Linked DNA regions of Danio rerio. The protein of the gene in region 2 purifies or fractionates together with the protein of the main gene of each other region. This does not show direct contact. Links are inferred from orthologs where the notes say so. Each region holds a gene or a part of one and is shown on either strand. Other genes may lie near its edges. The genes, in order: kif5aa, klc2 and kif5c.

What was found.
Region 1: the proteins of klc2 (region 2) and kif5aa purify together in Homo sapiens (affinity purification with western blotting; 3 studies listed by BioGRID and IntAct, with this or other methods). This does not show direct contact. The link is inferred for Danio rerio from reciprocal best matches to the Homo sapiens genes KLC2 and KIF5A.
Region 3: the proteins of klc2 (region 2) and kif5c purify together in Homo sapiens (affinity purification with western blotting; 3 studies listed by BioGRID and IntAct, with this or other methods). This does not show direct contact. The link is inferred for Danio rerio from reciprocal best matches to the Homo sapiens genes KLC2 and KIF5C.

What each region holds. Positions count from the first base shown.
Region 1 is NC_133184.1:246,355-250,014, forward strand, and holds part of kif5aa (kinesin family member 5Aa), read right to left. Parts: intron 1,566-3,660; coding exon 1,478-1,565; intron 661-1,477; coding exon 587-660; intron 1-586. UniProt on the Homo sapiens protein: Microtubule-dependent motor required for slow axonal transport of neurofilament proteins (NFH, NFM and NFL). Can induce formation of neurite-like membrane protrusions in non-neuronal cells in a ZFYVE27-dependent manner.
Region 2 is NC_133182.1:6,694,955-6,699,161, forward strand, and holds the start of klc2 (kinesin light chain 2), read left to right. Parts: upstream 1-1,275; 5' UTR 1,276-1,330; intron 1,331-4,207. UniProt on the Homo sapiens protein: Kinesin is a microtubule-associated force-producing protein that plays a role in organelle transport. The light chain functions in coupling of cargo to the heavy chain or in the modulation of its ATPase activity.
Region 3 is NC_133184.1:24,804,354-24,808,013, forward strand, and holds part of kif5c (kinesin heavy chain), read right to left. Parts: intron 3,303-3,660; coding exon 3,185-3,302; intron 2,706-3,184; coding exon 2,629-2,705; intron 2,066-2,628; coding exon 1,956-2,065; intron 1,811-1,955; coding exon 1,709-1,810; intron 1,329-1,708; coding exon 1,268-1,328; intron 1,137-1,267; coding exon 1,065-1,136; intron 336-1,064; coding exon 231-335; intron 1-230. UniProt on the Homo sapiens protein: Microtubule-associated force-producing protein that may play a role in organelle transport. Has ATPase activity. Involved in synaptic transmission. Mediates dendritic trafficking of mRNAs.

The DNA.
Region 1 (3,660 bases), on a different chromosome or scaffold from region 2:
TAACGCTTATTATCATGGTAAGCAGAGTAAGACTGAAAACACAGTAAATTAACCCATTCTGGGGTTCAGGGTTGCATTTGATCCATTTATATATTAAGTAAATGTATTGTGTGTTGTATTGTGTTGCGGTTGTATTAACTTGTGCCAGTTTACTGAATGTATGCATGCTAACTGGTCGCCTGTTGTGTTCTTATATATCTTTATTTATTGCTCTTAGTTTTGCTCTTGCTTTGGAGGCGCACTCCATTTGCACACTGTAGCACTTTCACTTCGGTTTCCTGTGCAATCAGCAGAAGACAAGCAGTCGAGTGGTGTCTTTAACTCTCAGGGCTCTATTGTAATGGTCTAAAGGCGCTGCTTTTTTTTAGAGGGGGAAAAAGTGTTGTTGCACCAGGCGCATGATCTGAAAGTGTTGTGCTTATTCTCTGAATGAGTGATGAGTGTGTTCTGGGAATAATGTCTCATCTCTCCTTGGTTTGAGAGTCAGTTGTGTCTCCACCGTTTACACGGTGACCCTTTTTACTCTTCCAAGAGATCTTAAAATCAAGTGTGAGCGAATGTGAAGGTGTCAATGACGGTACTGTACCTCCATGGTGTGAGTCTTTCCAGAGGAGGTTTGTCCATAGGCAAAGATGGTGCCGTTGTAGCCGCCCAGCACATCTACACACACACATATGATTAAAACAACACAACAACCTAATAATCACAAAGAGCCCATTGTGTTTCACAGAACAAACAATGTGCAGACAGAAAACATGACTGAAATCTAGTTTACTGAGCATTATTAATCAACATTTGTCAAGTTAGCAGTTGGGTGGCTGCTTTTGGCCAAAGCAAATCATAAATTTTCCATCTTTCCACCCCATAAAGCGTCCTTGATCACGATTTTCAACATTAAAACTAAACACATTAGAGTTCGTCCTGTTTTAAACGGCACCTACAGTCTGCACAAACACTGTGATTGACATTCTCCCTTTGTACGTGTCATTAGAGAGGGAAAGCCCCGCCCACTAGTGCCCATCCCTCCATCTCATTAGCATAGAATAGTTTTGTTTATGATATTATTATAGGCGTCTGTAGCTCCGCCCTCTTCTGAAAAAAGCACAATCTCATTTGCATTTAAAGCGACAGTCACCAAAACGCCACGGTTAGGATCAAAGCCTGAAAGGGGCAGTTTCAGAGAGCTGGAGAACATTATCTGTGTGCTGTTCTCAGCTCAAACACACACACACACACACACACACTCTAGACACAGCAGAGACGCATTCACAGCTTGTATAAGGAGTATAAAAGGTCTTTAACATTAGGCTGCTTCTGTGTTTTAGGACGTTTGTAGAACTGTTCGTTTAGCGTGACATGGGAAATTGGATCATATTGAAGTGTAGAACTGATTCCTCTGGCCTGATGATCAGGTTATCAGTACAGCTGGAGCTGTATATCAGTGTAACTCAGGTTTGAGGTGTGCCGTATATCTGACCTTTGACGATCTGCTTGGCACAGGTGTTGTAGACCTGCTCCTGAGTGGTGTTGGTGGGAAACACTCGGTCGAACGCATAGGACTTTCCCTAAATCACATAAACACAGAGAAGGAGAGAGAAAGGTCATTGTACGCTCTCAGGTATTGATTAAACCACAGATCACAGCACAGAGATGAAGACCAGGCTAAACTGATCAGGCTTACTGGAGCTGCTTTGCAGAGGAACAATATCTGAAGTTGCCATACTGTATGTTTGATATGTACACTACCGGTCAAAAGTTTGAGCTCAATTTTACCATTTTCATGGTTTTTTTTAAGGAAAATTATCCTGTTGATCAAGGCGGCATTTATTAAATGTAGAAAAATTGTTAAATTGTTAAATATTTAAATATTTATTGACATTTTAGGTAACTGCTTTTTTATTGTATGTAGTTTCAAACAAACTATTACTCCAGTCAATATTGCTTTTATTACTATTGCTAATAATACTATTAATAATAATGATAATAATAATAATAATAATAATAATGATAATAATAATGATAATAATAATAATGATGATAATAATAATAATAATATTGATAATAATATTAATAATGATGATGATAATAATAATAATGATAAAAGTAATAATAATAATAATAATAATAATAATAATAATTATAATAGTTATAATAATAATAATAATAATAATAATAATAATAATGATGATGATAATAATGATAATAATAATAATAATAATGATAATAATAATGATAATAATAATAATAATAATAATAATAATAATAATAATAATAATGATAATAATATTAATAATAATGATGATAATAATAATAATGATAATAGTAATAATAATAATAATAATAATAATAATAATAATAATAATAGTAATAATGCTAATAATAATAATAATGATAATAATAATAGTTATAATAATAATAATAATAATAATGATGATGATAATAATGATAATAATAATAATAATGATAATGATAATAATAATAATGATAATAATAATAATAATAATAATAATAATAATAATAATGATAATAATAATGATAATAATGATAATGATAATGATAATAATAATAATAATAATAATAATAATAATAATAATAATATTAATAATAATGATAATAATAATAATAATAATAATAATAATAATAATAATAATAATAATCATGATGATGAAAAGCATCATGATTTTTCTTGCCTCTCCTGTACAAAAGTATATCTGGAAATTTAATTTAATATGGGCTGCTTTTGGTGCTAAGAAATAATTCTTAGCATTGAACAAAACTAATCAGCTGAGATCATGACAGCCAACAGAGGATTCTGCTTGGTCTTATAGCCTTCTTCCACTGATTACTTTCACTATTTATGAAGGCATAGCAGTAAAAATAGGACAAATTAACCCATGCAAGGGACAAATTATGGTCTTTCTAATCACCCGAACCCCCCTGTTCTACAGGCTATGGGCCTGTGTAGAGTTTCCAGCTAAAGATCATATATTGAGTCATCAGATGCTCCTGCAGATGGTGAATCATGAGCAGGATGACTGGAACTGGAGCTCTCTCTGGTAAATCAGCTTCCTTCTCCTGTTTCTGACTGCTGTCGCGTCACAAATCCTAAAAATATAGATTTATTGATGAATAAGCAGAATCCTCTATTGCTTTATTCACCGTCACGCTCTGTGCTTTTGACTCCAGCAAATCAGTTTACACTGGAAAACAAAATGAATTGGATTTACTACTTTTTTTAAGGTAAGTAGCTGCAAACTATTAATAAGGGCTGAATTTAAATAAACAAATTCAATTTAGTAGCGTTCAACTTCATTTGTTCATCCAATGAGTCATTTATTTTAGTGCAGGCGAATGCAAACAGTTATTATATATCACGAGTTCAACATGTGTGCAAGAATACAAGCACTCTGAGACGCAATCGATCAATATAGGAAGTCGTCTTTCATTTTTAATGTAGTTAAATAGAGAGAAACATTTCACGAGTAACCTTTAGAGTATTCTAGAAACACAACATGAGCAATAAAAAGCAGCACATCTTATACTGGAATATAATGAGGATGCAGCTGCTGTTCACTGCAGATTTTCTAATTTAATATTTTTCAAGAGAGGCTGGTGATATCCTGAAGCACCTCGTCATTATTAATATCATGTTTTCTGCTC
Region 2 (4,207 bases):
TCTGTCGGTCTGCATTAACACTTCGAAACGCTAGTTGGCAGTGAGGTGTAAATGTTCCTCTGTGTCAAGTTTCTTCGCTACTTTTTTGCACTTCCTGAACACTTCCTGAATGTACAAGTGGCTCAAACTCGCTCATTTTGAGGCAGGAACCGGCGGACGTGCAACAACTTTAACTATGAGGTAAACACAAAACAAAACTTTCCATCCGGAGCTCCTTCACGTTACTCCACACTTGTAAACAATCGCTCGCGCGGCTTCGCGCGGCTCTCGGTCCCGCCCAGACTCGTCAGCGCTACCAAGCCGACCAATCACAGAGCTCACGCTACGCGTCGTTGCAACGTGTAGATACATTTTTTTAGAGGTGCACGTCAGCGACGGCGATGGCCACGGCGAAGGGCTATGCGTCAGCGCCGTAGCATACGCCGGTGTTTGACGCAGAAGTATAAATCAGCCTTTAAGCCGAAAAGAAAATGAATGAATGAATGTTACAGTTTAAAAGTTAACTGTAGTTAGGCTTATGCACATTGAATTATTCGTTAACAAAGCGGTCTACTTTTTCTTGTACACTTTACTATAGTATGGTTCAAAAACACTATAGTGTTTACCATACTATTATTTATATGAAGGTGCTTTTCAATTAAAACAATTTTGGATTCCAAATACTGGTCAGACCAGTAACCACTGCAACCACTGTTTCAGAGCACACTAGCATATAGATATATTTAAAACTACTATATACTAATACTAACATCTAAAAAAATTTCTTTAATTTCATGGCACCTTTAAAAAGATAACTAAATGTGTTGGTAATGTAAAAATATGTGTGTAATGTTATTTTTGCGGCTGTTTTTTTAAGATTAAGATTTGCTTAAGATTGTAATATAGTACTTTTATAACGTTCACAAGCCATAAAGACCCACTCTGCGTTTATCGGGCACGCGCGCGCGCCCACCAAGCGCCGTCCACGCCCGGTTCTGGAGGGCGGGTGTAGTAACGTCAGCGCGCAGGGGGGGCAGGCTGTGGATTCTGGGAGCACAAACACACACATCAGCCATTTTTCAGTTTGCTGTGCTCATCCTTTCACTTCAACGCGAACATCCTCACAACGCAGAGCTGAAAGGGACGAGAAAAATGGACGAAGCGAAAGCGGGTCAGCAAACGCACGAGCGGCGGTTTTGCTAATAACAACAAACAAACGAACGCACCAAACACTCGATGGGACTCACACCGTTTACCTGCTAAATCGCCTTTGGGACCGAATCTGGACATCTCTGAATCCATTAAACCACATTAGAAGTTTGAACCCCATCCATAAAGCAGCTTATAAAAGGTATGCTCGTTTTTGTCATTGATTAGCGGCGATGCTAACCTGCAGTCAGTTTGAATGGAGCAAAGTTTAGCCCCCGGTCTGCTAAAAACAATAGCTGTTTGTTGTAATTGAATTGTGCTTAATGTTTAGCGTAAACGAGTATCTGTTACACTACACTTTGTTTAGACTGTTTTAAAGAGTTTTTGTTATACATTCGGTCGTTTATAATCGCCGTCATCCAGACAGTGATGATGCAGTGAATGTTGAATTAAACATTCATTTAGTTAAATAACGTCGCATGAGGATGTTCTGCATTTTGAGTGAGCTAAATTCACTGTATGTGTATGTTTATATTTTGGGTGTTTGTTAATGAGAGCAGGGCCTGCGTTTGTTTGCTGTGCTGGATGAGGGATGTTGTGGTGATGTTGCGGGTCACCTTGATGGATTTTTCCAGATTCCTCCTGAGTTTATCGGGCTGCTTTTAATAACTTTAGGGTGTAAATTGACCACGTGAGGCGTATGTTTGTGTTTGTGAGGTGGTCTGCTGTATTTTTGTGCTGGTGGTCTCGTGGTTTGGGGTGATTGTCTCCGCTGGTGCTGCATTGCAGTCAATAGGCGTGTTGACTGACGAAGAGCGCCTCTGCTGGACGCAGGTGGAAGTGCAGGTCAAATAAACTCATGACGACGACGGTGATGATGAAGTTGGTTTTATATTCACACATTATAACTTTTCCTTTTTTATAATTTCAGAAAACAATGATTTGCCAATTCTAAATAGTTAAATCATATTAGCAGTCAATGACTAGCAAAGTACAGCATTGTTTAAAGTCAAACAAACAGTGCTAATGCTGTTTTAAAGTCATACTTGCATGTGGTTTCATACTGAATATTCAAAGTACCATGGTAAACAATACAGGGAGTGTGTCTGAAGTTGTCACTGAATGAATGTGTGAATATAAAACCAACTTTACCTCAATTGATGATGTTAGCAATGTCATCATGTTACTGCAGTCATTTGTACATTGATTATATTGTTTTATCTTTATTTTATTAGCAAAATTTCATATACACAAACAGAAGTTTTAGTATTAGTAGTTTTAGTATTTATTTAGATTATTTTACTGTGAAATTGTTGAAAGCAAAAAATCTGAGATCATTATACTATTTATACTTATTATATTTTTTATTAACTGGTAATTCTTAAAATCATTGAATGTAAAGATTCTGAATATTTATACTTTGTGGATTTAAAAATATATATTTTTACAATTTTTATATTAGGTTTTTATGTTCACAATTTATATTGAGTTGTTGTATGTATGTTTCTGGTGGTTTGTGCAACAAAAACAAAGTGGAAAATATTGTATACATAAGTATTATATAGTTATATACATAGCCTTAACCCTTGTTGTCTCTGTTGGGGGTGTTTTCATCCACTCCAGGGTGACTTTGAGGCTTAATATTGCCACAACTTTTCAGCAAATGCAATGGCTTTTGGTGATGAATCTTATTTTGACACACATCTACTGTAAAAATGACACATTTTACCTCTTTTCAACAAGGAAAACAAGCATCAAGAAAGCATAAGGTGTCATGGCTTGCAATCAAAAAAATTGTTATAATGGAAGACAATAAAACAAAAACAGCCACCAAATAACAAAAGGGTTGTCAATTTGAACAATGCCCAAGGGTTAATTAGTATTTAGTATAATACACATACATGCATTACTGTATATAATTTTTTTTTAGCTTTCTTGAAATTATTTTTCAGATATCTTCTAACGAGTGATGCTTAACATAGAAATAATGTTTTAACATAATATTTTTTTAATAATAACTTTATGATGGCGATCTAGGATATTTTGCTAGTTATTTTGCAAGATACTTCGGAAAAATTCAAATGTTTTAGGGCGTAAAAATATTGATTTTAGCGGTTGTTACATTTTTATTTTTTGCTTTTTTTCCCAATTCCTGCAAAATAAAACAAATAAGACTTTACCCAGGAGACAAACATAATAATAATAATAACAATAATAATAAAAAAGGTCTTGCTTTGATTAAACATTACTTTTACAAATATTTAACAAATAATTATTTATTTTATTTATACAGGGACAATGTACAACATGACAAGCTAATTTACATCTTAATCACTTAATTAAAGTTTTACAGGCTAATCATTTTGTTGTTAAGACCTCATCTGTATGTTTTTGTTTATCTATGTGCACGGATGAACCGATATCATTTTTTTTTTACAAGCCGATACGAGTATGAATATTTAAATTTGTGTACTTGCTGAAACAGAGTACCGATTCTGATACTTGGATTTTGTTTTAATGAAAGTGCAATTATTTAAAAGGAGGTTTTATTTTTTGCCTGTAGCAAGGATGAACACAAAAATCTTTAACAAAAGGCAATTCCAAGCCAAAAATATACACACATTGTAAGATAACTTATCGATTACCGATTAAGCATGGATGTTTATAGGATAAGTTATCCTTGTGCTGACGTGTGTCAGCGATTTCACACATTACATAATCAAGTGTGTGCAGTTTACGTTACCTTATAGAGTCACTCTCTTGACATTGCATATTTGGGATGCATAAAACACTGTTATGTGCAGTTCTTCGCTTTATTCGCAAGTCCTGTCGTTAATCCGTTGGCCAGGTAATTGGGTGGTTCGCGTGTGGATAAGATCAACAGTTGGTTATGCAAACTTTAACTGCTTTCTCTAAAATATTTAGTTGTTTTAAGTGGTTTCATCTTGACAGACTGCCCTCAGTGTGCCCACATTGTGCGTGTGTGAGAGAGACTTGGCGCATCTCTCCATAGAACTCCATAAAAAAAATCTTAATCTGTTTTGCAAGGGCCTATCTAAAGGGTTAATGATGCCAACTG
Region 3 (3,660 bases), on a different chromosome or scaffold from region 2:
ATTATATTATATTATATTATATTATATTATATTATATTATATTATATTATTATTATTATTATATTATGTTATGTTATATTATATTATATTATATTATGTTATGTTATGTTATGTTATGTTATGTTATGTTATATTATATTATATTATATTATATTATATTATATTATATTATATTATATCAATGTATCAATAATTTGTTAGTGAAAAGTATAAAAAAAAAACTCAGAAACCTGCTTGTGGACTTTTGTGAGTTGTTCCAGGTTGTTTTCCAGGAAAATTATTTTCTGTTTTTGTGCCAGACTTCCACCTGATTCATCAGTGTCCAATTCAACACTCTACAAAACAGAAAAAAAAACTTTAAACTTCAAAGTTTAAAAACAGATTAAACTTCAAACTTTTCCACCATAAGTTAAACTGTATGTAGTTGAACTATTTTAAGGCAAGACACTAGAGTAAAAATACAACATAATTATTATAATTAGTAAAACAATAAAAGAATAGTCAAATAATAATTTCATATTTTAGCAATAAAATATTTTGTAAATCAGGAATATTTAACAAGTTATTCATTTTATATAAAAGAAACATCATGATATAGACAAAATTGAAATGAAAAAAAATAATTATAAATATATAATAAATAAATATAATTTAATAAAACAGCCTTTAATTATATTAAAATTTAAATGATAGAAATGTAGTAGATAAAATGTAATAATATGCATATTCAGGATATTGTCTAATTTTAAAGATAGCATTAAAACAATATTTAAGCATTGAAGAGATAGAAAGGATGAAAACCTGTAACCACTCACATCCACAGTAGGAAAAACTACTATGGAAATCAGTAGTTACAGGTTTCCAGCATTCGTCAAGACATCATCATCTTTTGTGTTCAACAGAATAAAGAAAATCAAACAGGTTTGTAACAAGTAAAGGGTGGGTAAACAATGACTTCTCTTTAAGGAAGCAAAATGGCCAAAATGGTGCCGGTGCCAAAAAAAAAAATAATAATCAAAAAAGTACATATAAAAAATAGAACAGCCGCTGTTTTGGATACTCACTCGGCCAATGCGATTATTGATATCTTGGATGAACAGTTTACGCAGGTCATGGAGAGTCTGGAGCTCTTTGGCCTTGTAGAAGAGAGAACTGAATGATCAGTTATCTAAAACTGACTTTCAATAAGAACAAAATCTATGCATAGCTATGAGATAAACTCTAGGTGAAGTAAAAATCATGTGCTGTGTAAAGTAATCTTGCTCACCACAGTCTCCTCCAGACCCTTCAGATCTTCTTTAGCTTGCTCCTTCTTCTCATTCAAAAAGCTGATTAAAACAACAATAATTATGCGATTAGAAAGGTTTTTAGGAGTTGCACATACTGTAGCTGCTTAAATTTAAAATCTATCTGTAAAGGGACAGCTCGCCCACCCTCAGATGCTTCCAAACCTTCCTCTTTTTCCTGCTGAACACAAAATGTTGGAAACCAGTAACTATTTACATAGTAGAATAAACAATTACTATGGAAGTCATTGGCTACTGGTTTACAACATTTTTCAAAACATCTTCTTTTGTGTTCAACAAAAGAAAGAAATTCTCAAGGTTTGAGGTGAAGGGTGAATAAATATCCATTTTTTGAATTAACTATACCTTTAATCTTCATTAGCAGATGATTTAGATAATGTTTTAATGAGCAGTGAACTCACAGAAGCTTCTGTAGCCTTTCGTCCTTCTTCTGGTCCTCCTGTTGGAGCTTCTCGTAGTCAGACATGAGCTTCTTCTGTTCAAGTTCAAGAGCCTGGTTCACACTGTCATCACATGGCAAAAAATACTGAATGCATCAAACCGTTTTAATGGGTCTTGGTTTATTTTGATTAAGGCCAGGCATGAGCAGATTTTCCCAAAAGTGAATGTTCAAAATTAATATTGTGTTTTAAACTAAAAAGCACTTACTCCTTTAGCTCATCTAGTATCCTCTGTTTCTCCTCGATCTCATCCCGCAGACGTGAAAGCTGCTTCTGATGAGTCTCTCTGTGGCTTTCCATCTGCTGCTCCAGGGCTTTCTATATGCAGACACACAGATTTATATATACTATTATTTATTTGAACATTTATCATGTATGTTATTACATTTAAAGTGTACATATGATGGTTTAAAGATCAAATTGCACAATAAATTGAGTTATTGATTCTGAATTGCCTGAAATGATTTGTCAATCCCCTGCATAGGTTTGTAACACATTAGTAAAATGCCAACTCTTCCAGCAAACAACATCTACTTTGACCCTTAAAGAATGTAGCTGCAAATGAGGCCCAGAAGAGTGTTTGTGTTGTCAAAATGTTGTGTAAAAAATTCAGATACGATAATGGCATGTACTTGCCCTGAAAGCATTTTTTGTGTTCAAAATAAGTCTTATAGATGTATAAATGTTAACTTAGTGGTTAAAAAAAAAGGTGAATATTGAGCTGTCGGTAAAAATCGCTTTGGGCTACTCTAAGGCATCTGTTATATTTTTACAGAGAGCCCAAATTTAGCCTTGTTTTAGCCAAGATGTGTATGTTTAGATGTCTATTTCTTATGGACATAGTAGCTTGAGGTTTCAGAGGCAGTGTTTGTGTTTTTCACCTTCATTTCTTCAGCATCCTGCATTCTGCTCATGTGTTCCTTCTCCTTATCCAGGACTGAAACCTCATGCATCCTTTCTGTAACAACCAAAATGATGGCAAAGATTTCTGAATATTTTTAAATCTACAGACATGGAAAAATTATATAACCAATTAAAAATGTTCAGTTCCTCTGGATTTAATGGATTTATTTGGTATGGGGTTGAGTAAAATATCTTTCTAATTTCAAATGATGGTATTGTCGATTAAAGCAATCTTTTTAAAAAAAATGTTTTTATTTGTTGTGATTGAAAATGAGGTTTATTCCTCCAAATATTGATTTCTTAACTCTTTTAAAGCTAAAACATTGGCATTTTGTTGTGTAAAAATGAATATAAAATGTCTGTAAACTTTTATGAAAGGCATTTTTGTTGCTATAAATGTAGATTATTTTCAATTGGTCTCCTAAGTTTATCCATAGCTGTGTTCAAACTTACTTTTAAGTGTGCTTGTTTTTCATTTTCACATTACCACATTTTTTTTGTGACAGATTTAGCAAGATTTTAAACCACAAAGACCTTCTGCATGGAGTTTAGCGAGTTCCTCTGTCAGTGAATCATGGCTTTCCTCCAGCTGTCTCTTCTTCTGTTCCATGTTCTGCATGTAGTCTGTGAGGGATTTGATCTTTGCTTGATGCTGGACACAGGAAGAAAAAAACATAAAACACAAAAAAACAATGTTTAGATTATTGTGCTTAAGAACTTATATTAATGGAATAGAACATTAAAAAACCTTTTTGTAAATGTAACAATCTTTAATCAGTTAATATAGGGGCAAAAATAAAAAGTGTATACAGGAAAACTAAAACAGATAATCTGCAAAAAAAATCTATATATCACTATTCTTAAAATGAGAAAAAAAGCTGTGAAAAAATGAAACTTACAAACCATTTAAAATAGAGCCGTTACATTTTTTCTTTCTTTTTAAAATCATCAGGAGATCAAAGAGAAGAATCGCCCATGTGTCTGGATACTGATCACTAGGGGGCGCAGTT